Linked DNA regions of Ovis aries. The protein of the gene in region 7 purifies or fractionates together with the protein of the main gene of each other region. This does not show direct contact. Links are inferred from orthologs where the notes say so. Each region holds a gene or a part of one and is shown on either strand. Other genes may lie near its edges. The genes, in order: PHF5A, RBM17, SNRPB, ZC3H18, SNRNP200, HNRNPC and SF3A1.

The links.
Region 1: the proteins of SF3A1 (region 7) and PHF5A purify together in Homo sapiens (affinity purification with mass spectrometry; 3 studies listed by BioGRID and IntAct, with this or other methods). This does not show direct contact. The link is inferred for Ovis aries from reciprocal best matches to the Homo sapiens genes SF3A1 and PHF5A.
Region 2: the proteins of SF3A1 (region 7) and RBM17 purify together in Homo sapiens (affinity purification with mass spectrometry; 4 studies listed by BioGRID and IntAct, counting the BioPlex papers as one, with this or other methods). This does not show direct contact. The link is inferred for Ovis aries from reciprocal best matches to the Homo sapiens genes SF3A1 and RBM17.
Region 3: the proteins of SF3A1 (region 7) and SNRPB purify together in Homo sapiens (affinity purification with mass spectrometry; 3 studies listed by BioGRID and IntAct, with this or other methods). This does not show direct contact. The link is inferred for Ovis aries from reciprocal best matches to the Homo sapiens genes SF3A1 and SNRPB.
Region 4: the proteins of SF3A1 (region 7) and ZC3H18 purify together in Homo sapiens (affinity purification with mass spectrometry; 3 studies listed by BioGRID and IntAct, with this or other methods). This does not show direct contact. The link is inferred for Ovis aries from reciprocal best matches to the Homo sapiens genes SF3A1 and ZC3H18.
Region 5: the proteins of SF3A1 (region 7) and SNRNP200 fractionate together in Homo sapiens (co-fractionation; 3 studies listed by BioGRID and IntAct, with this or other methods). This does not show direct contact. The link is inferred for Ovis aries from reciprocal best matches to the Homo sapiens genes SF3A1 and SNRNP200.
Region 6: the proteins of SF3A1 (region 7) and HNRNPC fractionate together in Homo sapiens (co-fractionation; 3 studies listed by BioGRID and IntAct, with this or other methods). This does not show direct contact. The link is inferred for Ovis aries from reciprocal best matches to the Homo sapiens genes SF3A1 and HNRNPC.

What each region holds. Positions count from the first base shown.
Region 1 is NC_056056.1:218,391,071-218,395,390, forward strand, and holds the start of PHF5A (PHD finger-like domain-containing protein 5A), read right to left. Parts: upstream 2,957-4,320; 5' UTR 2,922-2,956; coding exon 2,870-2,921; intron 2,439-2,869; coding exon 2,415-2,438; intron 1,920-2,414; coding exon 1,753-1,919; intron 1-1,752. Other genes in the region: ACO2 (aconitate hydratase, mitochondrial), read left to right, coding at 3,456-3,491.
Region 2 is NC_056066.1:10,884,724-10,888,383, forward strand, and holds part of RBM17 (splicing factor 45), read left to right. Parts: exon of another isoform or gene 1-1,746; intron 1,747-2,342; 5' UTR 2,343-2,357; coding exon 2,358-2,480; intron 2,481-3,020; coding exon 3,021-3,137; intron 3,138-3,660. UniProt on the Homo sapiens protein: Splice factor that binds to the single-stranded 3'AG at the exon/intron border and promotes its utilization in the second catalytic step. Involved in the regulation of alternative splicing and the utilization of cryptic splice sites.
Region 3 is NC_056066.1:52,392,395-52,396,550, forward strand, and holds the start of SNRPB (small nuclear ribonucleoprotein-associated proteins B and B'), read left to right. Parts: upstream 1-1,237; 5' UTR 1,238-1,340; coding exon 1,341-1,343; intron 1,344-4,018; coding exon 4,019-4,156. UniProt on the Homo sapiens protein: Plays a role in pre-mRNA splicing as a core component of the spliceosomal U1, U2, U4 and U5 small nuclear ribonucleoproteins (snRNPs), the building blocks of the spliceosome.
Region 4 is NC_056067.1:13,383,458-13,387,117, forward strand, and holds part of ZC3H18 (zinc finger CCCH domain-containing protein 18), read left to right. Parts: intron 1-3,208; 5' UTR 3,209-3,222; coding exon 3,223-3,660.
Region 5 is NC_056056.1:104,085,681-104,089,340, forward strand, and holds part of SNRNP200 (U5 small nuclear ribonucleoprotein 200 kDa helicase), read left to right. Parts: intron 1-565; coding exon 566-674; intron 675-1,404; coding exon 1,405-1,513; intron 1,514-1,998; coding exon 1,999-2,188; intron 2,189-2,285; coding exon 2,286-2,450; intron 2,451-2,622; coding exon 2,623-2,744; intron 2,745-3,011; coding exon 3,012-3,155; intron 3,156-3,247; coding exon 3,248-3,424; intron 3,425-3,660. UniProt on the Homo sapiens protein: Catalyzes the ATP-dependent unwinding of U4/U6 RNA duplices, an essential step in the assembly of a catalytically active spliceosome. Plays a role in pre-mRNA splicing as a core component of precatalytic, catalytic and postcatalytic spliceosomal complexes.
Region 6 is NC_056060.1:24,263,219-24,266,878, reverse strand, and holds part of HNRNPC (heterogeneous nuclear ribonucleoproteins C1/C2), read right to left. Parts: intron 2,349-3,660; coding exon 2,188-2,348; intron 1,635-2,187; coding exon 1,521-1,634; intron 1,279-1,520; coding exon 1,118-1,278; coding exon of another isoform or gene 1,049-1,117; exon of another isoform or gene 1,019-1,048; coding exon 935-1,018; 3' UTR 1-934. UniProt on the Homo sapiens protein: Binds pre-mRNA and nucleates the assembly of 40S hnRNP particles. Interacts with poly-U tracts in the 3'-UTR or 5'-UTR of mRNA and modulates the stability and the level of translation of bound mRNA molecules. Single HNRNPC tetramers bind 230-240 nucleotides.
Region 7 is NC_056070.1:69,359,946-69,363,605, forward strand, and holds part of SF3A1 (splicing factor 3A subunit 1), read right to left. Parts: intron 2,742-3,660; coding exon 2,620-2,741; intron 1-2,619. UniProt on the Homo sapiens protein: Component of the 17S U2 SnRNP complex of the spliceosome, a large ribonucleoprotein complex that removes introns from transcribed pre-mRNAs.

The DNA.
Region 1 (4,320 bases), on a different chromosome or scaffold from region 7:
TGGCGGGGCTACAGTCTACGGGGTCGCAGAAGAGTTAGACACAACTTAGTGAACTAAACAGCAGCAGCATACCAAGAGCTAGAGAAAAAGGAAGACATGAGCAGGGTATGATTTGACAGTCAAAGACAAACGAAAATCAGAGTTTAGGATAAGAGAATGTTCAAATCGGGGACATCCCTGGTAGCCCAGTGTTTAAAAATGCAGGGGACATGGGTTTGATCCTTGGTCAGGGAACCTAGATCCCATACCTTGGAGCAAGTAACCCTGCACACCACAAGACCCAGAGCAGCCCCCCAAAAGAGAGAGAACGTTCAAATCACCAACTGAAATTATGTTTCTGGTACTTTATCTACGATCGTTCTCGCTTCCCTAAATAACAGAAGACTTTACTGGTGTGAAAAATAGGTTTATCTGCTCTAATATGTCCCACTTATTAGAGGTAGACAAAATCTAACTGCAAAGATTCTGAGGTAGCTGAATCGTCTCTCTTCAACACAGGCACATCACAGACTTATGAAAGGACACCACAAGGTTTAGTCAGAAAGCTTGGGACTTGACACTTATTAGCTGGGAGAGGGGCTGTAAAATGGGGATAATAATACCCCCTAATTAACAAAGCTATTGAAGAATAAGGGAGATAAGATCTATATAGAAGGGGGATCTTCCTGACCCAGGGATTGAGCCTGTGATGAACCCGAGTCTCTCACACTGCAGGCAGATTCTTTACCATCTGAGCGAACTGGGAAGCCCTATATATATATATTTAATTATCTACTATTTGTAAAAGGGAATATAAAGAATTATTTATCTTTTGGGAATTCGCTGGCAGTTCAGTGGTTAGGATTCTGCATTTCCACTGCAGGGGGCCTGGGTTCCACCCCTGGTTGGGGAACTAAGATCCCCAAAGCTGCCCAGCATGGCCAAAGAATTTCTTATTTCTTTTTTGCCTTATGTCTTATCCTAGATTAGGTAACCAGATACCTCATATTAGCCTATTGTTACTGTATCACACTTTGTTTTACTGTCATAAGAACAGAAGGTGATTCATGGGTTGTCCTCCTCTCCTCCAAGAAACCTGTTTTTGGTACAGATCTATAACTCTCTATTGTATCCTGGCAACTGGCTCAATTGCATTTGCCAGCATACAATGTTAAGGGGAAAAAAACGTCCAAACAGAATCCCAAGCAATTCTGAAAAATCAAAGCAAAAGTATTCTCTAGCTACTCAGAGCTGAAATCAACTTGAATAGTCCCAAATTCAGAAGTCAATACATCCACCTGAACAGTCCTTAATGATAATAAAGAGAATTACTGAATGGCTATTATACACCTTGCACCATGCTAGGACTTAAAAATGCAGAATATTGGGAGTTTCCTGATGGCCTAATGGTTATGATTCTGGGTTTTCACTGCTGTGGCCAGGGTTCAAGATCCTGTAAGCTATGTGGCACAGTTTAAAAAAAAAAAAAAAGATATTGTTTGTGAATAAAAATGAGAGAGACATCAAAGGAATAGAGGGCTTTCGAAATTGCCAGTGTTGACCAAAATTTGCTTCTCTTGCACTTTTGTCCTTGATACAAAATAACTGCCTTTTGTTGGGCTACACCCAGTTTGGCTCACAGACACTGAAGAAATTATAACCTAGATGACTAAATGAACATATTCATCCACGGACCATACAGTTTGCTGTGGATGGCAAAGTGATACTAAACACAAGGGAAAATCAGATGAAAAGCTTCCTATATATACTCACATCTTTCTCCTGGATGGTGCATTCCTTACAATAATAGGCATCTGAAACTCCAGGGCCTCCACAGATCACACAGCGTCCCTGGTAAGAGCCATAGTTACACTCGTCGCATATGCGCACCAGAGTGCAAGGACGCACATAGGAGTCACAGATCACACACTTGCCATCACCTATAAGAAGAGAATGGAGTTACACCCATGTGCAAATACCTCAAGTCCTTTGCCCTCCTCCCGCTATGGGGACTACACCAGTCTCCTAACAGTGACTTGAGGACCCTCTACTTTGGCATCACAAAACCTGACTTACCTCGTGTCCATCTCAATCGCTACAACACAAAGGAAAAGTTAATCAACTACTGGGTAAAGACCTTAGAGGAGCACCTGGTAGATACGTCTATATAAATTAGTTGGCAGAACGCTGTATATGTCGATGGGGTCATGCTACCTCTGGTCCAAAGCTAAAGATTCTCTCAAAACCTAGTGTCTAAAACGTGCAAGCTGGAGTGAGGGTGGTGGCCTTTAGTTGCAGCCTGGCACTGTGTTGACATTCTTTGGGTCACGTCTACTCCAAGTCCTCCTAGTGCCACCGCTGAAAATGCTCGTTTGCTTGCTCTACAGAAACTGAGTGGGCCAGGTGGGCTAATTGGGGAGGCGTGTTCCACTCACACTTTTCACACAGTCTTCCAATGGCTGCAAGATAAAAGACGGTAAAGAGCACAATTAGGATTAAAGTTTTGACGAAGAGGGGACAAACATCTTCGAGCTTGCGGTGGAGACAGGAGCAGCGACTGCAGTGAGCCCTGAGGGGATCTATCCATCTTATCCTCTTAAACTTCAATCCGAACCAAATCCAGAGCCTCCTGAAGCCCCTCACAGGTCCTGCGCAAACTAAGAATTTCTCCCAGCCCCATTCCGGCAGCCTGCCTCCGGCTCCCAGCACGCGAGCCCCCGCCCTCTTTTCATCAAGAGACCGCAAACGCGCGCGCTCCTGCACTTTCAACCTAGAGGCGGGAAACGTGGCGCCTCCCGGGCAAGACCCTAAGCAAGTGACGGGAACCCCGGACCTCTTAGGTCCTAATACCATTCCCACCAAGAGAGCCGGGGGCAGAAGGCTGCCTCACCAACACCAGCCTGCTTGCGGCAAAAGATCAAGTCCGGGTGATGCTTAGCCATAGCTCCCTCTCAAACCACCGGAAGCTTACAGAACTTCCGTCCGACCTTTAACCTCCGTTGCTCCTGCCTCTTGGTCGCCGTGATTGGTTCTCTAGACGTCCGTCAGCGTTTATACTCTTTGCACCAAGCCCCGCTGGTTCTCGCGAGTTCAAATTTCAAAGCCAGGTTTCCGTCCTAACGGGGGTCAGGTCCTGGCAGGTGTATGAAAGTTATTTAAAAAAAAAAATCACAATCTTTCCAGAACTAGAATGGGAGAGGCAAATTGCAAAGTACAAAGGTGAAATTTTCACTTCGATAAGACATCTCTTGCCCGGCATCTACTTCCTTAAGTGTTTTTTTGTAGTTTTGTCCTCTCCCCTTTCGAGTCCTCACTCGGGAACTCCGCCCAAGGCGCTCGCAGAAGTAGGCGCCTCGGCCGAAGCCCAGCCTTCACGAGGCCGCGTTTCTCTTCAGGCCACGCCCCCAGCCTGAAGGCTTTAAATACTCTGAGTGGCACGTCACTTTCAAGCGACCTCATCTTTGTCAGTGCACAAAATGGCGCCTTACAGCCTACTGGTGTCCCGGCTGCAGGTGAGCGAACTGAGGGCCCTCTGGGTTCGCGGGGGCGGGGTGCCTCCTCCTGTGATTGCGGCTGTGGGCGAGGCAAGACGAGGCAGGCCCGACCTCCGGCCGGCTTTTCGTGTACCTGTCCCTGTCGCGGGGCCAGCACCCACGCTCGCTCCTCCGGCGCCCGAGGTCAAGGCGTCCCTGGCTCTGTCAGCTCTCTCTCTGCTCTGTCCCCGCCCAGCTGGAAGCTTGGGTCTAAGAAGCGGCAGCTAGGTGAAGAGTGGAGGCACCTCTTTCTCGTTTTCGTGGACCTCACTTTCTACCCCATAGAGTTTTGTTTTCTGTTCCTCAAGGTGAGGACAAGGTGACTGGGGGGGCGCGGTGGTTGTTGAGCCCGCTAGGCCCAGAACCCGAAGGCCTCACTTCTCATCTCTCAGCAGCGGAGACTTGCTAGCCAAGTGCATCAATCGTTGTCAAACCCGAAGTCTGGAGAAAAAAACTATATTCCATCTTGAGGGGATCCTGCAGAACATACAGCCAAGAGTTCGAGGGGACCTTCCGTCCCCAGCCGTAGTAATTAGTAATGATAACAGTAGTCTCACCTTTGCACAGATTGCAAGACCATTCCTCATCATATCGCTTAATTTATATGATCATTTGGTAGGATGATTATTCTCATTTGATAGGTGATGAAACTGCTAGGTAAAAGTTCCTGCTCTGAGTGTTACCCAAGTGCTGTGGCGTTAGCATCTGCCCTACTACCCCGCTGTTCTCTTTGTTCCTGTCACCCTGCCCTCAGAACTTTTTGAGCCAGAGTGTGATCCTGGAGCTGACATTTGTATTTGTGAGAGTA
Region 2 (3,660 bases), on a different chromosome or scaffold from region 7:
CGAGTGTCCCAGAAGCCTTGAGGAGGAGAGCCGTTAGGCATGTCTCAGTTGTTTCGTGTGTCACTTGGAGCACTCAGCCTCCAGTACCCTGGGCTCTGCTTTATTCACCCTGCTTCTGTACTGCCTTGGGGCCTTTCATTTAGCAGTCAGCACTGAGCACTCAGGTCATCACAGGGTTCAGGTATAAAGTAGGGAAGGAACTCGGAAAGGCACCCATAGGTGACCAAGACTGACCTCAGCTCAGGAGCCGACAGCTGTCCTGAGGGAGGGAGGTGGCATCCAACCCCTCACCCCCGCCCCACGCACCGTGGAACCAGGTCAGCCGAGGTGTTGGGGTGTCGGGGTCTTAAGATCCATGCACAGAAGGGTGGAGAAGTGAGCAGACACAGTTTTGCCCCAGGTCAGATGTGACTCTGGGGGAAAATTAGATACTTCCCTTCCTGTATGTTCCGCCTTCTCTTCCTGAGACATAAGACAGGCAAAACAGGATTTGTGTGACACAGTCTCAATGGCGAAATGCTGTCTGAGCCTGGGAACTGACAGACTTTTGCGATGTATTCATAAGTTAGCAACTCCTGTGTTAAGCATTTCTTTGTAGTTTAGGGTTTTCAGTCAGTTTTTTTTTCCCTCTTTCCAACTGTGAGAAACAGATTGCTGTCTTATTTTGAGAAATGAGCCATCTTTTGGGTTTCAGAATGTTGAGGTTTTCAAATGTGGCAGTAAGGACTTAGCAGCTAGAGGTGTGGACTTCTGACTCGGTTTGACCTGGAGCAGATTTATTTCTGGCAGTCCCCACCCGCTCCTGGACTGCTCTTGGCTTTACTGGTAGCCTCCTCCTAGGCTTCTGTAGCAGATACTGCCTTTGACCACCCTGGCGAGTGTGATAGGCTGTTATCCTAATGTCAGAAAGCAAGGAGGAACTAAAGAGCCTATTGATGAAGGTGAAAGAGGAGAATGAAAAAACTGGCTTAAAACTCACATTCAAAAAACTAAGATCATAGTATCTGGTCCCATCAGTTTATGGCAAATAGATCGGGAAAAAGTGGAAACAGTGACAGACTTTATTTTCTTGGGCTCCAAAATCACCGTGGATGGTGACTGCAGCCATGAAATTAAAAGACTTGTTTCTTAAAAGAAAAACTATGACAAACCTAGAGAGCGTATTAAAAAGCAGAGACGTTACTTTGCAGCAAAGATCCATACAGTCAAAACTATGGTTTTTCCAGTAGTCACGTATGGATGTGAGAGGTGGACCATAAGGAAGGCTAGGTGCCGAAGAATTGATGCTTTTGAACTGTGGTGTTGGAGACAACTCTTGAGAGTCCCTTGGACTGCACGGAGATCCAACCAGTCCATCCTAAAGGAAATCATCCCTGAGTATTCGTTGGAAGGACTGAAGCTGCAATCCTTTGGCCACCTGATGTAAGGAGCCCACTCATTGGGAAAGATCCTGATGCTGGGACAGACTGAGGGCAGAAGGAGACGACGGAGGATGGTTAGATGACGTCACTGACTCCATGAACATGAGTGTGAGCAAGCTCCGGGAGCTGGTGAAGGACAGGGAAGCCTGGCGTGCCGCAGTCCACGCGGCCCCGAAGAGTTGGACACGACTGAGAGGACTGAACAGCAAGTGTTAATTGTTGTCATTTTTGCTGTCTTCATCCTCTGTTCTGCCAGGGATAGCGAGTCATTCACATGCAGATTGTTGATTCTCGCTTTGTGCTCAGAGTCATTAAAGATCACAAGGTGGGATACGAGGAAGCCTGGGTATTAATGCAGTCTAACCTTCTACTCTCCTGTCACATCTGTGAGATCATTTCTGGGTTTTCCCCCTTATTTGTAGGCATATAATTTATAAAAGGGTAGCTTCCCCGCCATCTACTCTGCCCCCCTGCCGCCCTGAAAAGGTGGTTAATTGTGCTAACTCACCTGGTAATAGGTGTTTTTGTAAGGCTTCTACTTTTTGTTAACTGACACAAAGTAGAATTTTTTTTTTAAATGAATATATGTAGTTAAGAATGTCCTGACTCTAGAACTTCCCTCTTCCCTCATTTTGTAGAGCAGAATGATTTCACTCCTGAATTACTTGATCACATGATCTTATATACAGGAAAATTCATGCTAGAGGTTTATTTTGAAAATAGCACATGGGTATTAGAAAGGGCACTGATTGGTGATACCAGGTGTCTTGGCTTCTATCACTGAATGTTCCTGGACGAAGTGATCTCATCAGATACCTCCTACCTCTGAAATTCCATGCCACTGCATATTCTAACATAGGAAAATTAGAAATCTTCACTACATTCTTGCATTCTTTAACCCCTATCCACTTTCCGTTTCAGCACTGAACTGAGAAGATGTCCCTGTATGATGACCTGGGAGTGGAGACCAGTGACTCAAAAACAGAAGGCTGGTCCAAAAACTTCAAACTCCTGCAGTCTCAGCTCCAGGTGAAGAAGGCAGCTCTCACTCAGGCCAAGGTGAGAGAAGCTGAGCCCACCTGTGAGGGAAGAGTCCCGGCAGGTGGCTGCCGAGGCATGAGAGCCACTCCTCTACCTCTGTGTTAAATATGTAGGGCTCATGTGTTGCAGGGGTAGGGAGGCTGGGGTAGAGAGGGAGAGAAATAGGAGTTGAAGGTCATTTCACATCTCCTGGAAATAGAACTGTTTGAGAGAATCAGGATGAGGAAAGGAGTACTCTTGATTTCCAGCAGTGATGCTGGTTTTCAAACTTCAGTATGTCCAAGCATAGAGTTTTTTCAATGTATTATTTCATATGAAAATTTAACAGCGGCCAATCTTTCTGTAAACCTTTTTATAAAAATCGAGATTTGTGTTGTAAGGAAAAGGAACTAGTATATGGTTATCGTAATAATTGAATTAAAAGGCTATTGTTTTAAGATTGTTTCTCTCATATCTGACAGGTTTGTTGCAGAGACCAAAAAAAAAAGCTTTGTTACAAGTAATCTGAATTTTGATTTGAAGCCTCAGTACACTTTTCTTGGTTTTTGATGATTTTAGAGCCAGAGGACAAAACAAAGTACAGTCCTTGCTCCAGTAATCGACCTAAAGCGAGGCGGCTCTTCAGATGAGCGGCAGATCGTGGACACTCCACCGCACGTGGCTGCAGGCCTCAAGGTACACCCCCCGCCCCCAGCACACACCCCCCTGGGTGGGCTCTCCTGCTTTCCAGGCTGCACTTTACACACGCCGCTGAGCATACCTCCTCCGTAGGCCTTGCACTCTAGTCAGGATCATGTTCAGTTTAATTTTTGCTCTGGTTTTATCCACTTTAAAACAGTTAAATCTGTTTAAAGCTCAGTAGTTAATCAGAAATTGGAGGTGGGAGAAAAGAAAAGCAAATGACTTAAGAATTTAAACACTTGGTATCGTTTTCCTCCTGCATCTTCTGTCCCCCCCTTGCGCTTCTCACTTAACGTACTGCGGTGTCCACCTGTGTCAGAGAGTACAGGGCCCCACGCTCAGCCAGTGGCTCCACTGCGCTCCCCTGTGTGGCAGGCGCTGAAGCTCTCGGTGAGGTTTCCTGGCCAGAGGAGCTGATCCTTCTGCAGTCTGGTAGTCTGGCAAGAGGGAAAACCACTTGGTTCCCCACAAGGGAACTTTTCTGAGGATTCTTAGTCATTTAACATTTTTTCCCACA
Region 3 (4,156 bases), on a different chromosome or scaffold from region 7:
GTATTTTGGCATCTAGAAAAAAAGTCTTAAAAGTTTATTATCTTAGTGATAAAAAAAATTTGAATTAGGCTTGACACTTCTAATTCAATTCTGAATATATAAAGAAATATGCTGCAAAAAAAACAAGAAAATTAGCGTGTAATATAGTATTACTAACTAAAGTATAGATTTTGTCCAAATCTCAAAAATACAAAAAAAATTATGGAAATTCAAAATATAAAAAAATTAAAACATTAATTTTCTTTTTTGTGTCTTTACCTGAATGGTCATATTTTCTGTAATGCATTGGAAATACATTTTGTGTGTGTGTGTTAGGACATTTTAGTAAAGGTTATCATTGAAAAAAAAGTCATGGGACTGGATGGGAGTGACTGATAAATTCATTCATTCAAATATTTATTAAGCCCTTGTTATGTGCTAAGCAGTGTTCTAGGCACTACAGCAATGAACAATGGACAAAGAAAAATTCATATCCTTTGAACTCACATTCTAATGCGGAGGGATAATAACACACATACAGTATGTTAGCAATCAGTGTTAAGGAGAAAGGTGTTAATAAAACAGGGATGGGTGGGAAGGTTTCAGTTTTAGAAAAGGACGGCCAGGAAAGCCCTCAGTGGGAAAACGTTACTTGAACTTAATTCATGAAGGTGAGGCTGTCAGCCGTGCACATACATGGACGACTAGCATTCTAGGCAGAGGCAACAGCAAAGGTGCTGTGCAGAAGCAGGTCGAGTAAGTTCACGGAAAAGCAGGGACTGTGGCTGTAGACAAGAGATGAAAGTGAAAGTCGCTCAGTGGTGTCTGACTCTGCGACCCCATGGGCTGATACAGTCCATGGAATTCTCCAGGCCAGAATATCGGAGTCAGTAGCCCATCCCTTCTCCAGGGGATCTTCCCGACCCAGGAATCAAACAGGGGTCTCCTGCATTACAGGCAGATTCTTTACCAGCTGAACTACCACGAAAGTCCTGTAGACAAGAGAGCCGGGATAAAGTGCTGGGAGATGAGGACCGAAAGTTAACGGGCTGGGACGCGGGGGAATGGGTGGTGAAGGTGAAAAGGAGCAGCTCTAAGTACCGACTGAAGCCGGGAAGCAGTCCAACAAAGAGGATCCGAAGATAGCACCGCCCAAAGTTCCGCCCTGCCCTAAGCTCATAACTCAGCGCCTCGGCCGGAACTCAAGGCCCAACTCCGGGACCGGAAGCAGCTTGCTACCCGACCCCATTTTCCCTGCGGTTACATTTCCGGTAGCGGCGGCGGGAAGCGAGTTACTCGCGGGCTTCTAGGCCTCCACGAAGACGAATCCGGCGGGAATCTGAGCCATCAGAACCGCCACCATGGTGAGGAGGCGCAGACCAGCAGCACGGGAGCTCCTGAGCCTCTTGTGGGGTGGGGATCGCGATTAACCAGGAAGGAGGTCATGGGTTGGCCGCTCAGGGGGTGAAGGCCCGGGCCGCGGCGCCTCCGTCTGCGTAGGAAAGACTCACACCGTCGTCCCTCGGTGGACTGGGCGAGGGGGTCCGGGGTGGGGGGTGGGGTAGAAGGCTGGAAATAAGGGACCGAGGCCAGAAGTCGCTTGGTACGCGCGAGGTTAGGGCTGGGTCTCTCCAAGCCGCTGTGGGATCCCACAGGCGCTGAGTAAACTTTGCGGCATGTATGTGTGTAGGGGGCTTCTGAGCAAGCACTAGCGCCGTAGAAGGACTGAGTAAGACCGAGTGAGAGGCTCAGACTTGTGAAGGGTGAGGGTCCGAGGAGTTGCGGAAAGACGTGGAAGGACTTGTGGCCGGAAACAGTGTTGATTCTGGTAGATGGGGAGGAGGGAACGGAGGATGAGTGAGGGAGGAAAAGTTTAACTCTTTTGTTCAGCATTTATGCTTGAGTACGCCTGACTTTTCAGGCCCTGGGGCTACACAATGAAGTGTTTCCTTTCTTCACTGCGTTCACTCTTATTTGGAGACACGGGTAACATAATTCGGAGTGGTAATTCAGCGTTAAGTAAAAGTAACGGCGGGGAGCGAGATAAGAATGTTTTCTAGACTCGGTGATCCCTGTCAGAGTCCTAAGACTCGGGCGAAAATGGGAAAGAATGGTATAGATCCGAAGGACTGCAAGAACAAAGCGTGAAGGGTAGCATTGTTGAAGATTCTTAGAGGGGAAAGGGAAGAATGTTGGTGGGAGGAAATGGCGGGAATCTGGTTATTAAAGGCTTTACATGCTATTTAATTTTGTTAGTGGTAAGGGATGCCATTGAAGGATTTTTAACAAGCAAAAGGACACGTACTTATTTGTGTTCAGAAAGATAACTGTTAGGTAGCTGTTATATATCGGGTGAACCGGAAGCAGGGTGTAGTTTAGAGAGTTGGTTAGAAAAGTAGGCACTGGATTCAGGCTCACTAGCTTTCAGCACAGCTTGACCTCTTACAGCCATGTGACCTCATCTGTAAAGTCTGATTTTAAGGATTAAATGAGATAAGTAGTGCTTGTGGCAGTGCCTGCCAGTCAGCGCCCAGTGCGAATTAGCTGTAGAAGACAAATGGAGCTGTAAATGTTACTGTAAAGGTTCAGACACGAGTGGTTAGAAGCTGTGGTTACAGTTTGGTTAAAATGGTCATGTAAAAGAAACTGCACCGCATAACTTGAGTCTCCAGGGTAACAGGAGTCAAGATTCTGATCCATGCATTTGTACGTTCAGAAAACCTGTGTTTGTTCAACCTCACAGAGATGAATAGCAACCACAGTGCCTGGTACCTCAAAGGCTCTTGGATGAGTTAAGACTGGTCAAACTAATGGGAGGCTGATATAACAAATGTTTATTCATAGAGATGTAACTGCCAAGGGCACTTGACAGTCCTCTTGTGAGGTCTGTATACTCTATTTTAGCACAACTACATTTGAAGCCAGGCTGTGAAGGAGAAAAGGTTGTTGGGTTAAGGAGTATAGCAGCTTGTATATTCTCATTATGTGTTCAAACTCATTAGCACTCTGGTTACTAGGAAGTTTTGACGTTGCTGAATATAGTCTTGGAGGCACACTAACAAATCACTGATTCGGTGGTTCCATTCTCCTCTTCTAAGCTGTTCATCTCCTTTCTGATAACAGGCTCTTCATTGATTGGGTTCTTAGTGCCAGTCCCATTCCAGCTCTTTTACTCGGTGTTTTTTTTTTTTTTTTTTTTTTTTACCTCAGTCTTTTTAATGGGATGGTGGTGTTCCACAGCACTGGAGTCACCTGTAATCTGCACAGTGGTAGATGGCCACTGATCTCTAATATGCATGGGGTTCAGTAGTTTGGAGCCATCTTACCCTCTCACTTCTGAAACATAATACAACATTGAATCCAGTTCAGTCCCTCAGTTGTGTCCAACTCTTTGTGACCCCATGGACTGCAGCACACCAGGCCTCCCTGTCCATCACCAACTCCTGGAGTTTACTCAAACTCATGTCCATTGAGTTGGTGATGCCATGCAACCATTTCATCCTCTGTCGTCCCCTCCTCCCACCTTTAATCTTTCCCAGCATCAGGGTCTTTTCAAATGAGTCAGTTCTTCGCATCAGGTGGCCAAAGTATTGGAGTTTCAGCTGCAGCATCAGTCCTTCCAATGAATATTCAGGACTGATTTCCTTTAGGATGGACTGGTTGGATCTCCTTGCAGTCCAAGGGACTCTCAAGAGTCTTCTCCGACTCCACAGTACAAAAGCATCAGTTCTTCTGTGCTCAGCTTTCTTTATAGTCCAACTCTCACATCCATATATGACTACAGCATAGACAAAGATATGCAACATAGACAAAGGCAATTGTTATATGAAAAAGATGATTTTACGAGAAGGGACAATAACAGGTCAGGTTTGAAAACAGGTGAGAGAATTCCTAGGAAATGGCTGTGGTTGAAAGATAGAACTGAGAATACTGAGAAGGACAAACAGAAAATAAGGCTGCAGCAGAAGTTTTAAGGAAAGGCAGCAGTTTTGTGGGTCCAAAAGAGCTGAGTCTCATTCCTGCTGATTTCTCCTTGCAGACGGTGGGCAAGAGCAGCAAGATGCTGCAACACATTGACTACAGGATGAGGTGTATCCTGCAAGATGGCCGTATCTTCATTGGCACCTTTAAAGCTTTTGACAAACATATGAATTTGATCCTCTGTGACTGTGATGAG
Region 4 (3,660 bases), on a different chromosome or scaffold from region 7:
ACAAACTGGGGGGCGCATTCAGGCTCTGTGAGGACTTCTTTCCACACACCATCCAGCAGCCTTGGGATTTTAGTTTGAGGCGGCGTTTCCTGTGGTATTGGTATACAAGTGTGCACCTTTGGGGGATTTCTTTTGTTAGGTTTACCGTTAGTTTTAAGTGCCTGGAAGTTTCAAACTTGAGACACATTTAAAATAAGTGGTGTCACAAGTTCGATTTCTGTATGATCATCACTATTTTTTACCTAATAGTCTGTATGGACAATATAGTAACTTTTCCATGTCTGTAAAAAGCCGTCTTTGGGGTTCTAGAAGGGCTCGGACAGGAAGCCAGATGGATCAGCACAAAACTTGAGAAGGGAGAAGAGAACAACAGACAAATCTCTTGGGTCAGTGGAAGTCCCCAGTCAGTGTGAGGGCTGTATTCCAGAACAGAATTTGTGGAGTCATTTGGCGCTCAGGTCCTGTTTTCCTGTAGAACAATGGTGGTGTGTGGCAGTTAGTCCCAGGGCAGGTAGCAGGAGCTCATGTTCTGCATCGGGCTGGCTCCAGGATTGGGCAGCAGAGTAGAGACTCCAGCTTGGACTGCACTCAGTGGCCAGGTGACTCCGTTTCCTTCTCTGTGAGGGGTAACGTTTGTCTGAAAGGTCGATGTAAGAGACTAGATCCAGTGCCTGGCAGAGCAGTAGTCTCGCCGCAGGTCGGGTGGCTGTTGATTTTGCTGCAGAGTTGTTGAGAAGACGTGATCGTGCTGAGTGCGTTCTCTGGTATGTGTTGGGTGACTGGCCCCTGGGCAGTCTCGTGGGGAGTGGGACACGGGTGTTGGAAGCCATCAGCTTTGTCTCATCTCGCTGCTGCAGTGACTTTAGAGTGGATGCTGTTTCCCCATATTTCAGATAAAGAAACTGGCGTCTGGCAAGTTTACGTAATTTGTTCAGGACCCTAAGGCCGGCAGGCAGTGGAGCGAGGATTCGGGTTCTGATTCAGAGGCCCACACTGATCCCCATGTCCCAGAAAGACGTGGTCCACTTGCTTGAGTTTGTATATCTGAAGCTAGGGGCTCTTTTTCTTCCATTTCTTACCCTAGGATTTAAATCCAAGTTTGCCAAAATGCACAAAGCAATTTGGTTGGACCAATCATGACAATGGAACCTTTTGGCACCTGGGCCCCAGGAAGGGACTGTTATCATGTTACTGGCAAGCAGCCTTGGTGCCAGGAACAGTGAACAGGATAGTATGTTGCAAGGCTCAAGTAGCAGTTGTGTAGATTTTAAGCTAGTTTAAGAGGACACTTAATTTTGGTTACTAGCTGATTAATTTCAGAGGCAACTTGGTTCCCGAGGTTGCCGTTAGACTGTACTATGTGACAATCGGAATTTGTCTGAGGCTTAGTGACCAGTTGTATATGACTGCCTGCCTTCAGGGTCCTGGGGGCCAGCCTGAGCAACTGGGGAGTGAAAGTCCCTGCCTCTCTATGGAGAGGTTTCTTACGCACAGTGTAGTAAAAGCTATGCTAGGGTAGGCATAGGACATTGTATACCAAGGAAAATCTCATACATTTCATTGATATCAGCTAAGGTGGGGCTGGAGGCTGCTGGTTTGCCACTGGCCCCCGACTGGTTGCCGTATGCCCAATGCTGTGTCTGGAGGAGGTGAGGATGTGGGCCCTGTCTTGGTAGCTTTCTCACCTTGCCAGTCGCCCTGGTCTTGCTCTTCTAGCAAGAGGGATGTATGTGGTGACAAGCTCTGCCCTGTGCAGGGAGGCAGCAAAATACAGCGCTTTAGGACTGACTTTTTAATGTTAATAATTCCTTCAGCAGGCCTGCCTCTGGACAGTGTTGTTAGAAGGCCGCAAAGGGAATCGTTTTCCAAGCTGTCTACTTTTAAGTGACTTTAAATGGATTGGTTTGTAAATTCCTTTCACTGCTGACTATTTATAAAGTGATGAATTTTAAGTGATTTGTCCTTATGTTTGCTGAATTTTAATAATATCCGTTATCAGCAAAAAAAATTTTTTAACTATGAGTTCAGATACCAGTTCTTGATATGCGCATCTTTAAACACACATTCTCCTTTTGAAGGTGTACATTTAAAAGATATACTTTAAAACTTTGGTTATATATGAATGCATAAATAACTTTATATAATTATACAAATACGGGTATGTGTGTTTTCAGGTTTCATCAAGGTACCATGTAACATGACTGTGGCATACATTGTTTTTAATAAAAAGTCTTGAAGACTCAGGTGAACATTAAACCTTTCGCTGTTCCTGCTCTTGCACACCAGCTTGATGGTGACCCCTGGCCTGGTGGACGGTCAGTGTTCGCGTGTAGGCTGTGTGGTGTTGGTTGGCTATTTGGTGTTGATTTCGCACACGCACACGCACACACATACACTGTCTCACCCCAGCTTATGCAGCCTGTGTTTAGAACAAATGGGACAATTTTTTGTCTTTGCACATTAGGGTGGGAAAACCAGGAAATAGTCAGTTTATAATTAAATCTAGTTAGTAAAAATAGAAAAGAAATCTTCTAGGATGACAGTGTTTTTATATTTGAAACTACTGAAACACATATGATTTTCTGCCAGAGTTGTTTCCTGCAGCATGCCCATCCTGGAAAGGTACTTCTTGAGAATCAGGGTGCATGGAGGCCTTCTGGCGTCCCTTGGTGGCTCCAGAAGGACCTTCAGTTTAAGGATCACCCCCAGTGATTGTGACTTGGCAGTCACAGGCCTAGCCCTGGAGAGACCTAGGCAGGAGCAGAGACAGCCTGCGTCCTGGGGACTGTCCGAGGCAGTCGGGTTTGTGCTCCAGACCCTGTGGGGGGCTCCAGACAGTGGTCAGGTGTGTTGTCACCTTGTTCCTAATGCACATCCTCCTGAATTTCAAAAGAAATTACTTTAAGAGCCCAAAAAGCTGTTGTTTATGGTGCCCATCTTCCTGCTCAAGATAAGCTTGGGTTGCCCTGGGAGGAGGGGGGCATGCTGGGGCTCTTGGCACCCGGTGGCTCCCAGTGTGGAGCTCCCGATGCCCAGCTCAGTGAGCCCAGCCTGGCCCCATGGAGGCCTGGGCTGTGGTGCCTGGTGCCGCTGGGATGTGGAGGAGCCGGGCAGCCACAGGTCCAAGCCCTCTTGGGGCCAGGAGACCCACACGAGACTGACTGGCCCTTCTGCTGGATGCTCTGAGTGTGTTCTCTTTCTTTTGCAGAACCGTGGGTACTGATGGATGTGGCCGAGAGCCCTGACCGGGACCCTCGCTCTGCAGAGGACGAAGAAGAAGAGCAGCAGGGGCTCTCGGACGATGACATCCTGAGGGAAAGCGGGTCTGAGCAGGATCTGGACGCGGCGGGTGGGAGGGCTTCCGACTTGGAGGATGAGGAGAGCGTGGCCCCAGGACTGAGCCAGGAGGACGAGGAGAGTCGCTCCGACGAGGACGACCGGGACTCTGAGGCTCAGGAGCTGAGCAGGGGCCCTGCCAGCCCCCCGCGAGCCGAGGGGGACCGTGCCAGCGACCTGAGGGACGAGGCCTCGTCGGTCACCAGGGACCTGGATGAGCACGAGCTAGATTACGATGAGGAGGTGCCCGAGGAGCCGGCCCCTGGCGCGCAGGAGGACGACGCTGAGAAGGCCGGGCCTGAGGATGATGATGAGCGTGGAGAG
Region 5 (3,660 bases), on a different chromosome or scaffold from region 7:
TGCAGACTCAGCAGGGTGGTTGGGCTTTAGAGGTGGAGCCCATTCTGTGTCTCCCTGGGGTGGCTGTGTGCTGGTGAGTCTCGTTGACGTTAGGCATTTCGTGCAGAGTAGTATTTTGACGGTGCTTAGGGAGCCGCAGTGGCAGTGCTCCTGCCAGAATCACTTGCTGTCACTCAGGCCTGAATCTGCCTCGTGTGGGGCACCCTCAGAGCTCGATCTGCTGCCATGGACTGGCCAGCCTGTGGCTGAGTTGGTGGAAGCATGTTCCAGTCGGCACAGCCTGCCTGTCAGGCAGGAGTGTGAGCCTGACTTTCTCTGGGCTTGGGGGTCTGTTCCAGGGTGACCTCGTCTCCTGCAGGGTAGCCCCCCAGCAGAGCAGCAGTGACAGGCAGACCCTCCTGTAGTACCGCGTTAGCCTCTTAGTCCTGAAACCTTATCCCTGCCCAGCGTTGCACTGAGTTCTGAAGTATAGAGCAGGGTGCGCCACTGCTTGCCCCAGAGGCAGCGGGTCCTGCCCCACTCGGGGGGCCCTGTGCTCAGTCTGCTCCTCCCCTCTGCCGCTCAGGGGCCATCCAGGTGGTGGTCGCTTCTCGGAGTCTCTGCTGGGGCATGAACGTGGCCGCCCACCTGGTGATCATCATGGACACCCAGTACTACAACGGCAAGATCCACGCGTGAGTCCAGTGTGCTGTGCGTTCACGGGCCCCTCTCTCCTAAGATGAGTGTAACCTCTGCAGATCCGGAAGGCCACTGTTGTGAAGAAAAGGTGTTAGGGAAATAAATAGCTAGCTGAGATTCCACCCCAGCCAGGGTTTTATTTGTGCAGACTTATTTCTGATGCTTGAAGCTGCTCCTAGGTTTGGATTTGAGTGGGGTGGGCTTGATCACTCATGAACCATATGGCTGTGAGGTCTGGGAGCCTGCCTGACATACGAAATGCTTTAACATGGAGTCATCTGGCTATCGCCGTTAGATGGGTTGGCTTCCCAGGTGGCGCAGTGGAGAACCCACCTGCCAATGCAGGAGACGCAGGTTCCATCCCGGGTCGGGAAGATCCCCTGGAAGAGGACATGTTGGCCCTCTCCAGTGTTCTTGCCTGGAAAATGTCATGGACAGAGGGGCCTGGCGGGCTGTAGTCCATGGGGTTGCAAGGAGGTGGACGTGAGGGAACAGACACACACACACATTAGATGGATTAACACCTTTGGTTCACAGACCCTGAGCAACAAAGTCCTGACTCTTAACACTTGAAAACTAAACTGGTCTGTAGATAACCTGTGACACTAGGGCCTGAGCACACTCACAGAGGTTTGCTGGGATTCTCCATGTCTCCCTGTATCTGCATTTTATTCTTCGACTTTCAGGGAGGCAGTGTCCTGAGTCCTCTTCTCCCTCTGTCTCCAGGTACGTAGATTACCCCATCTACGACGTTCTGCAGATGGTGGGCCACGCCAACCGCCCTCTGCAGGATGACGAGGGCCGCTGCGTCATCATGTGCCAGGGCTCCAAGAAGGTCAGCCCCGGCCTCTGGCGCGGGCTTCCGAGCCTGGGCCTCGGAACAGATTCTTTAATCTCTCTCTCCATAGGCGTCTTTACTTACTTCCTCATGTTCTCTCTGTCTTCTTTTCTTTCCACATTGCCTTTGTAACAAGCCTTTCCCTGTGTAGAATTTTGTAGCCTTTGATTTTTGTTGCTGCTGTTGACTCTGTGTATTGAGATCTTAACCCTCTGGCTGGGTCTGTCTTCCTCATGCCTTGCTCAGCCCTTGGGGCTCAGTGTACCTTCCTCCGTGGTAGAAATAACCAGTGATGCCGGGGGAACCGGCATACACACCCAGCTCTCCAGGTCCAGACCCAGCTCACCTTGTCTGTGCAGCTGGTCTCTTCCGTTTCGTACGAGCCGTGCCTGTTGCACGGCGGCCGTATTTGCCCTTGGCCTTTCTCTGACCGTACTGTCATTGACTGTGTGCTGTACCGTCATTGACATTTTTTCCCGTAGGATTTCTTCAAGAAGTTCTTGTATGAGCCTTTGCCGGTGGAGTCTCACCTGGACCACTGTATGCATGACCACTTCAATGCCGAGATCGTCACCAAGACCATTGAGAACAAGCAGGATGCTGTGGACTACCTCACCTGGACCTTCCTGTACCGCCGCATGACGCAGAACCCCAATTACTACAACCTGCAGGGTCGGTGGCGGCACTGCACGCATCATCCTCTGGTGGTTGGCACAGCCCTCATTCACCGTCTCCTCGGGACACCCCTGCTTACCTGTCACCTTCACAGGCATCTCCCATCGTCACCTGTCTGACCACTTGTCGGAGCTCGTGGAGCAGACCCTGAGTGACCTGGAGCAGTCCAAGTGCATCAGCGTCGAGGACGAGATGGATGTGGCGCCCCTGAACCTGGGCATGATCGCCGCCTACTATTACATCAATTACACCACCATCGGTGAGGGCCGGCAGGGCCTGCAGCCACGGGGACGACATGACGAGGCTTTCAGGGCCTCGTGTGCTTGTCAGAGGGACGCATTGCAGGGTGGAGCCGGGCTAGCCCAGCAGTTAACTCTGCTCCTCCTCTGCCTGCTTTGACTCCTCCAAATGTCCTTTCTTTCCTCTCTCAGAGCTCTTCAGTATGTCCCTGAACGCCAAGACCAAGGTGCGAGGGCTCATCGAGATCATCTCCAACGCGGCCGAGTATGAGAACATCCCCATCCGGCACCACGAGGACAACCTCCTGCGGCAGGTGAGCGCGTCTTGGCTTCTGGAGTGCGTCTTCCGAGCCGCGTGAAACTCGGCCCCCATACCCAGAGCACAGGATCCCGCTCTTGGGTCAGGAAAACTCCTACTCCCCTGCCCCGAGCTCCCTCACACACTCCACACACATCTCAACCCCCACCACCCACAGCCGTCGTCTCCTCCTTAGCGTGGAATGGTTGTGGGCCTGGGGCGGGTGGTGCTTTGGCCCTGAGTGCGGGTCTCTTCACCAACCGCTCTTTCTTCTGCTTTCCAGCTGGCCCAGAAGGTCCCCCACAAACTGAATAACCCTAAGTTCAACGACCCGCACGTCAAGACCAACCTGCTTCTGCAGGCTCACCTGTCCCGCATGCAGCTGAGTGCTGAGCTGCAGTCGGATACAGAGGAGATCCTCAGCAAGGTATGGAGGCAGGGCGCCGCGGGCATGGAGGCCTGGGCGGCCCATGCGGCAGCAGTGCCCACGCCTGCTCTTGCTCTCTGGGCCCTCTGCAGGCCATCCGGCTCATCCAGGCCTGTGTGGACGTCCTCTCCAGCAACGGGTGGCTCAGCCCGGCCCTGGCGGCCATGGAGCTGGCCCAGATGGCCACCCAAGCCATGTGGTCCAAGGACTCCTACCTGAAACAGCTGCCGCACTTCACCTCCGAGCACATCAAACGTTGCACAGACAAGGTGAGCTGGGCCTGCATCGCAGTGTTGGGTGGCCAAGTCTGGAGGCCAGGCATCCTGCACTGGGGTTGGTTGTGGGAGGGGAGGTGTCTCGTTTTGGCTTCTCTGAAGGTGTTACCCAAGAAGGCGCCAGGGAGCCTGACTGTTGTGAGCTGTGTTCTTTGGATGATCTGATAGCATGGGAATAAAAATGGCCACTCTGTGGAGCCAGTGGACTCGCTCCATTGGCTGGAGTCTGG
Region 6 (3,660 bases), on a different chromosome or scaffold from region 7:
AAAAAGGCTTAAGGAAGTTCCCAAACTTTTTCATTAGGCCTTAAAAGCCATTTTTGCAAACAAATCTCCACTTCAATCCAAGTTACTTGTCTCCTTGATTCAACACCCACCCCAATGAAACCTAAGTTGAAGTGTATGTTGGTATGCATAATAATTTTGACTCAAAGATATTTATCTAGTACATTCTAGGGGTTTTGTGAAGGCTGCTGTGAAACAAAGAATTTGAAGTAAACAATTATAAAATACAAAAATAAAAAAATCAGGGTATTTATTTTTTCTCCAAATTCCTGGTTTAATAAGGTCTTGTTTATTTTGAGAAAAAAAGGTCCCAAACATCAGGCTGTTCACAAAAATAACCCACAGTATCAACTTTAGAAAACAAATCTTAAGACTATTACACTAGTTATTTTTCTAGAGGATGCACTTAACATGCCAACTCTCATTCACAAAAATACATTGTTACATTTGTGTTGAACAGCCCCACACAGCACTCTTATGTGGGGTATAACACACATACCTCTAACTCAAAGCTGCTCTCAGGTTCTACTCAACTAATGAGACTGCCTTTGTAGTTAGGGAAGCAACTATTGTATGAATGGAAAGAACTGTACTCCCTGTATAACAAGAGATTATTTTGGAGACAGTTGATAAAAACCATACATCCTTTTTATTGTTAAGTCATAAAGAGGTATCAAAATTAAAAGCAAAAATTACAGGGTAAGACTTAACGTAACTACTAGGAGGGTCAAAGGAAGTGAAAATGGGACTAGGCGCAGGGCAATATGAATTAATGAACATGGGAAGGACAAGGATGGGGAGAACAGTGAGCATGTGCTGAAGATACTAGGGGAGAGGATCTGGTGAAAATTTTGATCTTAGACAAGCGCCTAGGTAAAGAAATAATGGGACAAGATTTCTAAACCCCGCTATGTGCTTAAGAGTCATCCTCGCCATTGGCGCTGTCTCTGTCATCCTCTCCTTCCTCAGCCTCTTTTTCATCATCCTTGATCAACTCCAGCTGTGAGAAACAGACACAAATAGGATGGAGTTAGAGGCACTCCATGTGTCCCTGATCCCCCCTCCACCACCTCTTTCTTTCCTTTCCCGTGGTTTTCACCTGGTCATCCCCCCGATCTTCATTATCATCATCATCCAGTAGGTCCCCCTCCTCAGCAGAGTCATCTGCACCCCCCTCAGACTCCATCTTCACATTAGTCTCATCTTTCTTCAGGGAGCTGCTGCTCTGCTCCTCTTCTGACTTATCATTCTTCATCTCTACTGGGGATGAGAAGGACAAGTCTGTCTAGGGGCAAGTAATGTCCACAGGATGTAGACAATCCCCACTAACAGATCATAGAACTGCAGCACAAATCTAAATCCTCCCACAAAATGCCCTTCCCAATTCAAATTCCACAAGTTTCATATTCAATTGCTTTATACCCCACTATTTCAACATGTACTTGCAACTAGCTTAGGTAACTAACTCTACTTTACACCCAACAAGCAATAGGACCACTTACCTCCTTGTTTGCTCTGTTCTTTTTCAATTTTTTCCAGGCTTTCCAGTAAAGAGTCCACTTTTTGTTTTATCTGGGTTAACTCCTTCTTAATGGTCTGAAGGTCATCTCCTTTCACTTAATACAAACAAAAACCTAGATTAAAATCAGATATACTAGAAGCTACCAGATAACCAAACACATTCCCCCTCTAGACTATACAATGGTAGTCAACATGAGATCCTTGAAGAGAAATGGAGCCTATACCAGACTGTCCTAGTAATGACGTGGGGGTGGGGGTGGGGGGCGCCTCACTGATCTTTTGATTATTAGATGAAAATGGAATCTAATGAATCTATTCCCTTAGGAGCAGCATTATTACTTTTGTAAGCCTGCTAAAAAAAACCCCCTCAATTCTATTTTAAAGCATTTTCTAGTTTTAGAAACATTATTTTATACACTGAATGGGTGTTGCAACTCCTTAAAATCTAATGACTTTTTCAAATTACCAAGGCCTTAAGGACAAAGGCTGCCTAGAGCTGACCCCTTAATCACTATTTTCTCATCTTCCATTATTTGATTAAACAGTTATTTGTACAAACATAAAAGTTTTGAATATTAACTGCGTTGATCTCTGAATTTCAACATACAAGAAATATCAGAACCAGAAAGCTGCAGTAATAATACTTACACTTTCCAGACTTAGAAGAAGATCCCCGCTGTCCACTCTTAGAATTGAAGCCACTTTTGCCCCTTCGTGAGGTGTTTCCTGATACACGCTGGCGTTTTGAGGGCACTACAGCCCGAGCAATAGGAGGAGGAGGAGGAACACGTGCTGGGTAACTGTACATCCTATTGGATAAAAGGAAAACAGAATTTCTTCACAAAGAAGTCAGGAAGATTCCAACAACTGTATCCTTATAAAATGATATATATTATTGTCAATTGTCTAGCAATTAATTCTTTTTGCTATGTTAATTTCATTCATAAGGCCAATTTATTCTTTTTAATACTGCAACCGCACACATACACACAATGGTTGCCTTAAGCTCTGGACATAAAGGTTCCTGTGTACAATGGCATTATTGATAGAACCTTACTTTTTGCAATGAATGGCCTTTGCCTTTCATCTTATTCCTTTCATATATGTGCTACAGTATTATAAGGAAATAAAGTACTCACAAATGACTACAATTAACCAACTTTGCAAACAGTGCTCTTATTAGCTAAATCCCTGGCATTTTCATCCACAGAAGCATACAAATATTTATCACTAGTTTATAGTATTAGGTTGAACCATATAAAACTTCCATGATTAACTGCTTTTGGCCTATAGAAACAGGCATTTCATATGTATTAGCTGGGTGTACATACCACTATCAATTCTAACAACATTTAGCATAAGCTCCGCTCAAAGCTCCAACAGAGGATATTGTCTATCTTGTTCACCATTCACTAGTGCCTAAATTCATTGCTCAGCACACATTTAGCTCTCAAAAATTACATATTTTTCAACTGCTGCTTCCACTGAGTAAGTATTCCTGTGACTGCTAAAGATATACCAAAGTGATGGCATGGTACTGGTGCTTACATTTGTAAAGAGAAAAAAATAAAACAAAAACCTTCCCACAAGGACATTAGTTCCAGAAAGTCTTTTTATTCTATGTTATTCTTTTTACGAAAGCCTGTAGGGCATAAGTTAAAACGTACCAGTAGGAAAAAAAACTAATAATTCTAGTTCTGAACCACTTTATTGACTCCAAGGCCAAGGAACAATCCACCAACTGTTCCCCCACCTAACTTCAAAGCGATGAAATTTTAAAACCCTTATATAATGTGATGCATCTCCCTCTTATATGCCTCATCAGTAGCTAACAGTCTCCAATCCTGGCAGTGAGAACATTGATTCTGCAGTCTCACAGACATTTCTTTCTTCTGCTCAACCTTAACAATATAAAAATGTTTCTATTCTGTTTTAACAAGGCAAGTAGGTATGACAGGAACATTTTCCTAATTTAAGAGTATGTGTGTACTATCAAATAAGTGAGGGAATCAACCCTTGGTAAGTTATTAAAACAGTTTTGTTTTACATTCCAATAAGGAAGTTTGAATCCTAGGAAATAGGAAAATTTAAGATCCTGTGATTCGGAAAGTAGGCTCATGC
Region 7 (3,660 bases):
GCTCCAGAGGCCGGGGCAGCCAGGCCGGCCCCCGTCCTCAGACTTGCACGCCCTGGCCTGGTCAGCTGAAGAGAAGGCAGGCCGCAGGCAGCGCTGCACCCCACCTGAGCCGCCGTCATCAACACCCCGGCCAGCTCCTCTGCAAGTGCTGGTCACGCTCGGCGGCGTGACTGACACCGCGAGGTCTGGGTGTGACCGTGTGCTGGTCCAGCTGAAACCCCATGCTCGAGGAAGGGTTCCCCCACCTTAAAATAATGTGAACCACACAAGGTCAATGTCCACTTAAATACGGCTAAACCAGGCCGCCACCCAAAGGGCTGCTAAAAAAGGGGCTCTGGGTGTCTCCTCTACCACCGCCTCCTAAGCCATAACCTCACACCTGCTAACAATCCGAAATATAAAATGACGAGAGGACAGGCATGCTTATTCCAAGCTACTCTGTCGCTTTAAATTAGCTAAATGCTATGTTTAGAATTGTATTCTCCAACATAAGGAACAGATTTCAGCAGGAAAAAAAACCATGAGTCTGACTCAACCCAGCTGGTGGGGCTTTTTAAGGGTGATTTCCACTCCAGTTTCTTGACAGGAAAATGCAGGGAAGGGAAGACCAAACCTAGAGAGAAAAAACTCCTTTTTGAAAACCACACTGGGCTGGTGAATTTCACTCACTCAATACATGCGAACCCCACACAAGTAAAGCCGAGGGTCCTGCATGCATGCTTTAACCCAGCCTGAGAAACTGATCCGTCCCTTCACTGAAACACTAACGAAAGCAAGTTCAGAGATTTCAGAAATGCTTACAAGGCCATCGGGGCTTCGCAGGTGGCAAAGTGGTAAAGAATCCATCTGCAATGTAGGAGACAGGGCAGGAGCCATGGGTTCAACCCCTGGTTCAGGAAGGTCCCCTGGAGGAGGGCATGGCAACCTGCTCCAGTACTCTTGCCTGGAAAATCCCATGGACAGAGGAGCCTGGTGGGCTATAGTCCAGGGGGTCACCAAGAGTCAGACACGAGTCCAAGTCAAGATCTAGAGATGCGGACGTACAGATTTATTATTAAGGGAACTTGGAAAGAATTCTTATTTCTGTGGCTGGCACAAAATGACTGGAAAGCTGTTTGGCAAAATGTTTAAGAAATCTTTAAAAATGCTCTTTCGGCCAGCAATGTGCCACACAGAGTTTTCTTCTAGGAAAACATCGAAAAAGGGAATGAAAATACTCAGAGACTTCCTCCCAGCTTTATGCGCCAAACTGAAATGCTGGAACAACCTCCAAGGAAGACACAGAGCAGTGGGCCAGGCCAAGGAAGGCCAACGCCGCAACATGGTGTGTCTTCTCCAGAGGGGGCCATGCAGCAGACCAGGGGCGACCCAGGAACACGCGCACAGCACAGGCAAGTGGGAAAAAGCAGGGTGTGACAGCACCTCTACCAGTACAAGAGCCTAAAAAGAATGCCCGGAGGAAACAGGAAAAAGTGAAAGCAGCTGGGAGAATCTACTCTGGTTGTGAGACTGGCGATTCGTCCTCTAACACCTTCTTCCTGTTTATTGTCTTCAGAACATCCGGGGAAAAGGGGAAGAATGAGTGTTGCTATCAGATATTAAAGTTATGCACGCAATACCTGCTGCCCTAAATCGGACATGGCCCGATAACGTTTAACCAGGCTCAGAGCCGTTTTAACCCAGTGTCCAGGTTAATCAAAGCCTTGGAAATGTGGAAGGTTAATCTATACGGAGCCTGACACAGTGAAAGACGCCAACCAGAGGAACCTCTTTCTATGTTTCATTTCATAAGAAGAACCCATCTACTCAATGATGTTCTTGCCTTAACCAAAGCTAGCCCACTCCTAGACGGGGACACTGTCCCGGGGTCAAGGTGCAGTTCCCTGGAGAGCGCAGGCCTGACTGCGGGCAGCGCTCTGCTCGAGGCCGGCTACCGTTTCCATGCAAGCAACCGTCCAATTCAGCAGCAGCCAGAAATCCAGACTTACGGTGCAATCTCATTTCTAAACAGTGACAACCAGTTCAAAAGTTAACGCCCTAAACCAGGGATGGTTGACCTTTGGAGTCAAGTGGCTATCAAGGAGACTCCATCTGAGGAGGCATGGGTGTGCTCAAGTATAATGGAGAGGGACAAGAGGAAATCCAGCTGACTCCCATGCCATCTGGGCCGACAGCCACACGATGCACCCGACTGCACCTGGGCCCCTCTCTCCGGCCTCGCGGTAACTCTGCGAGGGGCATGTTATTCCATTCCACAGCTGGGTCGGGAACGCAGTCCTTGCTCATGAGACGGTCCACTCCCTGTTCTGTCTTCCTCAGGCCAGCAGCTCAGACACGGACACACATCTCTGACAGAACAGTCTTCCAGGCACTTCTTCAGGCCTGGTTAGGAAGCACAGGTTCTTGGTGACGCTGGAGCTGGGTGGGCCTGTCCTCTGCCACTGCCAGACCGTGTTAGAGATGCCAGTTCTGCCCACAGCTGACCTTACATCACACTGTGGTCTCCAATGAGCTGACAGGCCTAAGCCGATGCCACTCTAAAAACCCAGGTGTTACCCTCGTGAGAATTCAGTTCTGTGCTAAAACTGCGACCCACGTGAGCAGGAGCAGCTACGTTACCTGGCCACGAAGCTGGCAGTCTTGTCAACGATGTTCCTGACCTCCGGAGGAGGGTAAATAATACCCACCACGGGCTTGGAAGGGGTAGAATCCTCCTTTGAAGATGCTTCTTCTTCTGTGGGCTGTGAAAACAGGAAAAGGAAGGCCTTGAAGTTTCTGGTTTAGTGTCGGATGCCTACAATTAAACTCCTCCAGGATGTTACTGAGAACACAGACTTTCTCCAGCTCAATTCATCACGACTTCCTGGAGTTAGGAACCTCTGCTCCAGAAGAACCATTTCTCTCAACTGCTCTGGGCCTGCACGGGACTCTCCCAGGGACCAATGAAAAGAGCAGCCTCCCTGGCTCCCCCTCGCTGGACTATCTCTGTGACACCGGGAGTCTGCATTTTCACCAAGCGTCCAGGTGATTCACATGTGTGGGCAGGGGAATGATGGGACATGGATCTGACCACATTCTGAGAAACCAGAATCCAGAAGGCCATGTCTGTATCCCCACATCCTTGGATATGCCTAATACAGGATATTTCACCACCGTCTGCTGAATAAAGAAATGGGAAACTCCTTGCTAGCCACTCCTGCCTTGAATGCCCTTTCCCTCTACACCCATTCCACGGTCTAAACCACCATTCAATATTTAAGAGGTGAAACCATTGGAATGCTCAGCGTTAACTGCCCTGTAAGTTCCAATCCTCTTTCCTCACCAGCTTCTTCCTCTAACAAAGGGTCAAGCCTCTCATGTTAGAAAGTTCCTCCGCCGCCCTCACGTTCCTGACTGCCACCACCTTCCCCCCGCCTTCCTCTGGTAGCTCAACAGCCCGTGTGCCCTCAGTCTTGTCGCCCCCACTTCCTCACCTCCCATCTGATCCCCATTCCTATCAAGGGCTCTTGCCAAAGTCAAGAAAGACAGCCTATGGCCTGCTATTGTGGTTATCTGGCCGTGAGACCAGTGACCACCCCGTCACAAGAGCCTCACCTCCTGGGCCCTATCCTCACCTGTCTCTCTTGCCCACCATTCCACCCAAGTCTCCCTCCTGGCTCT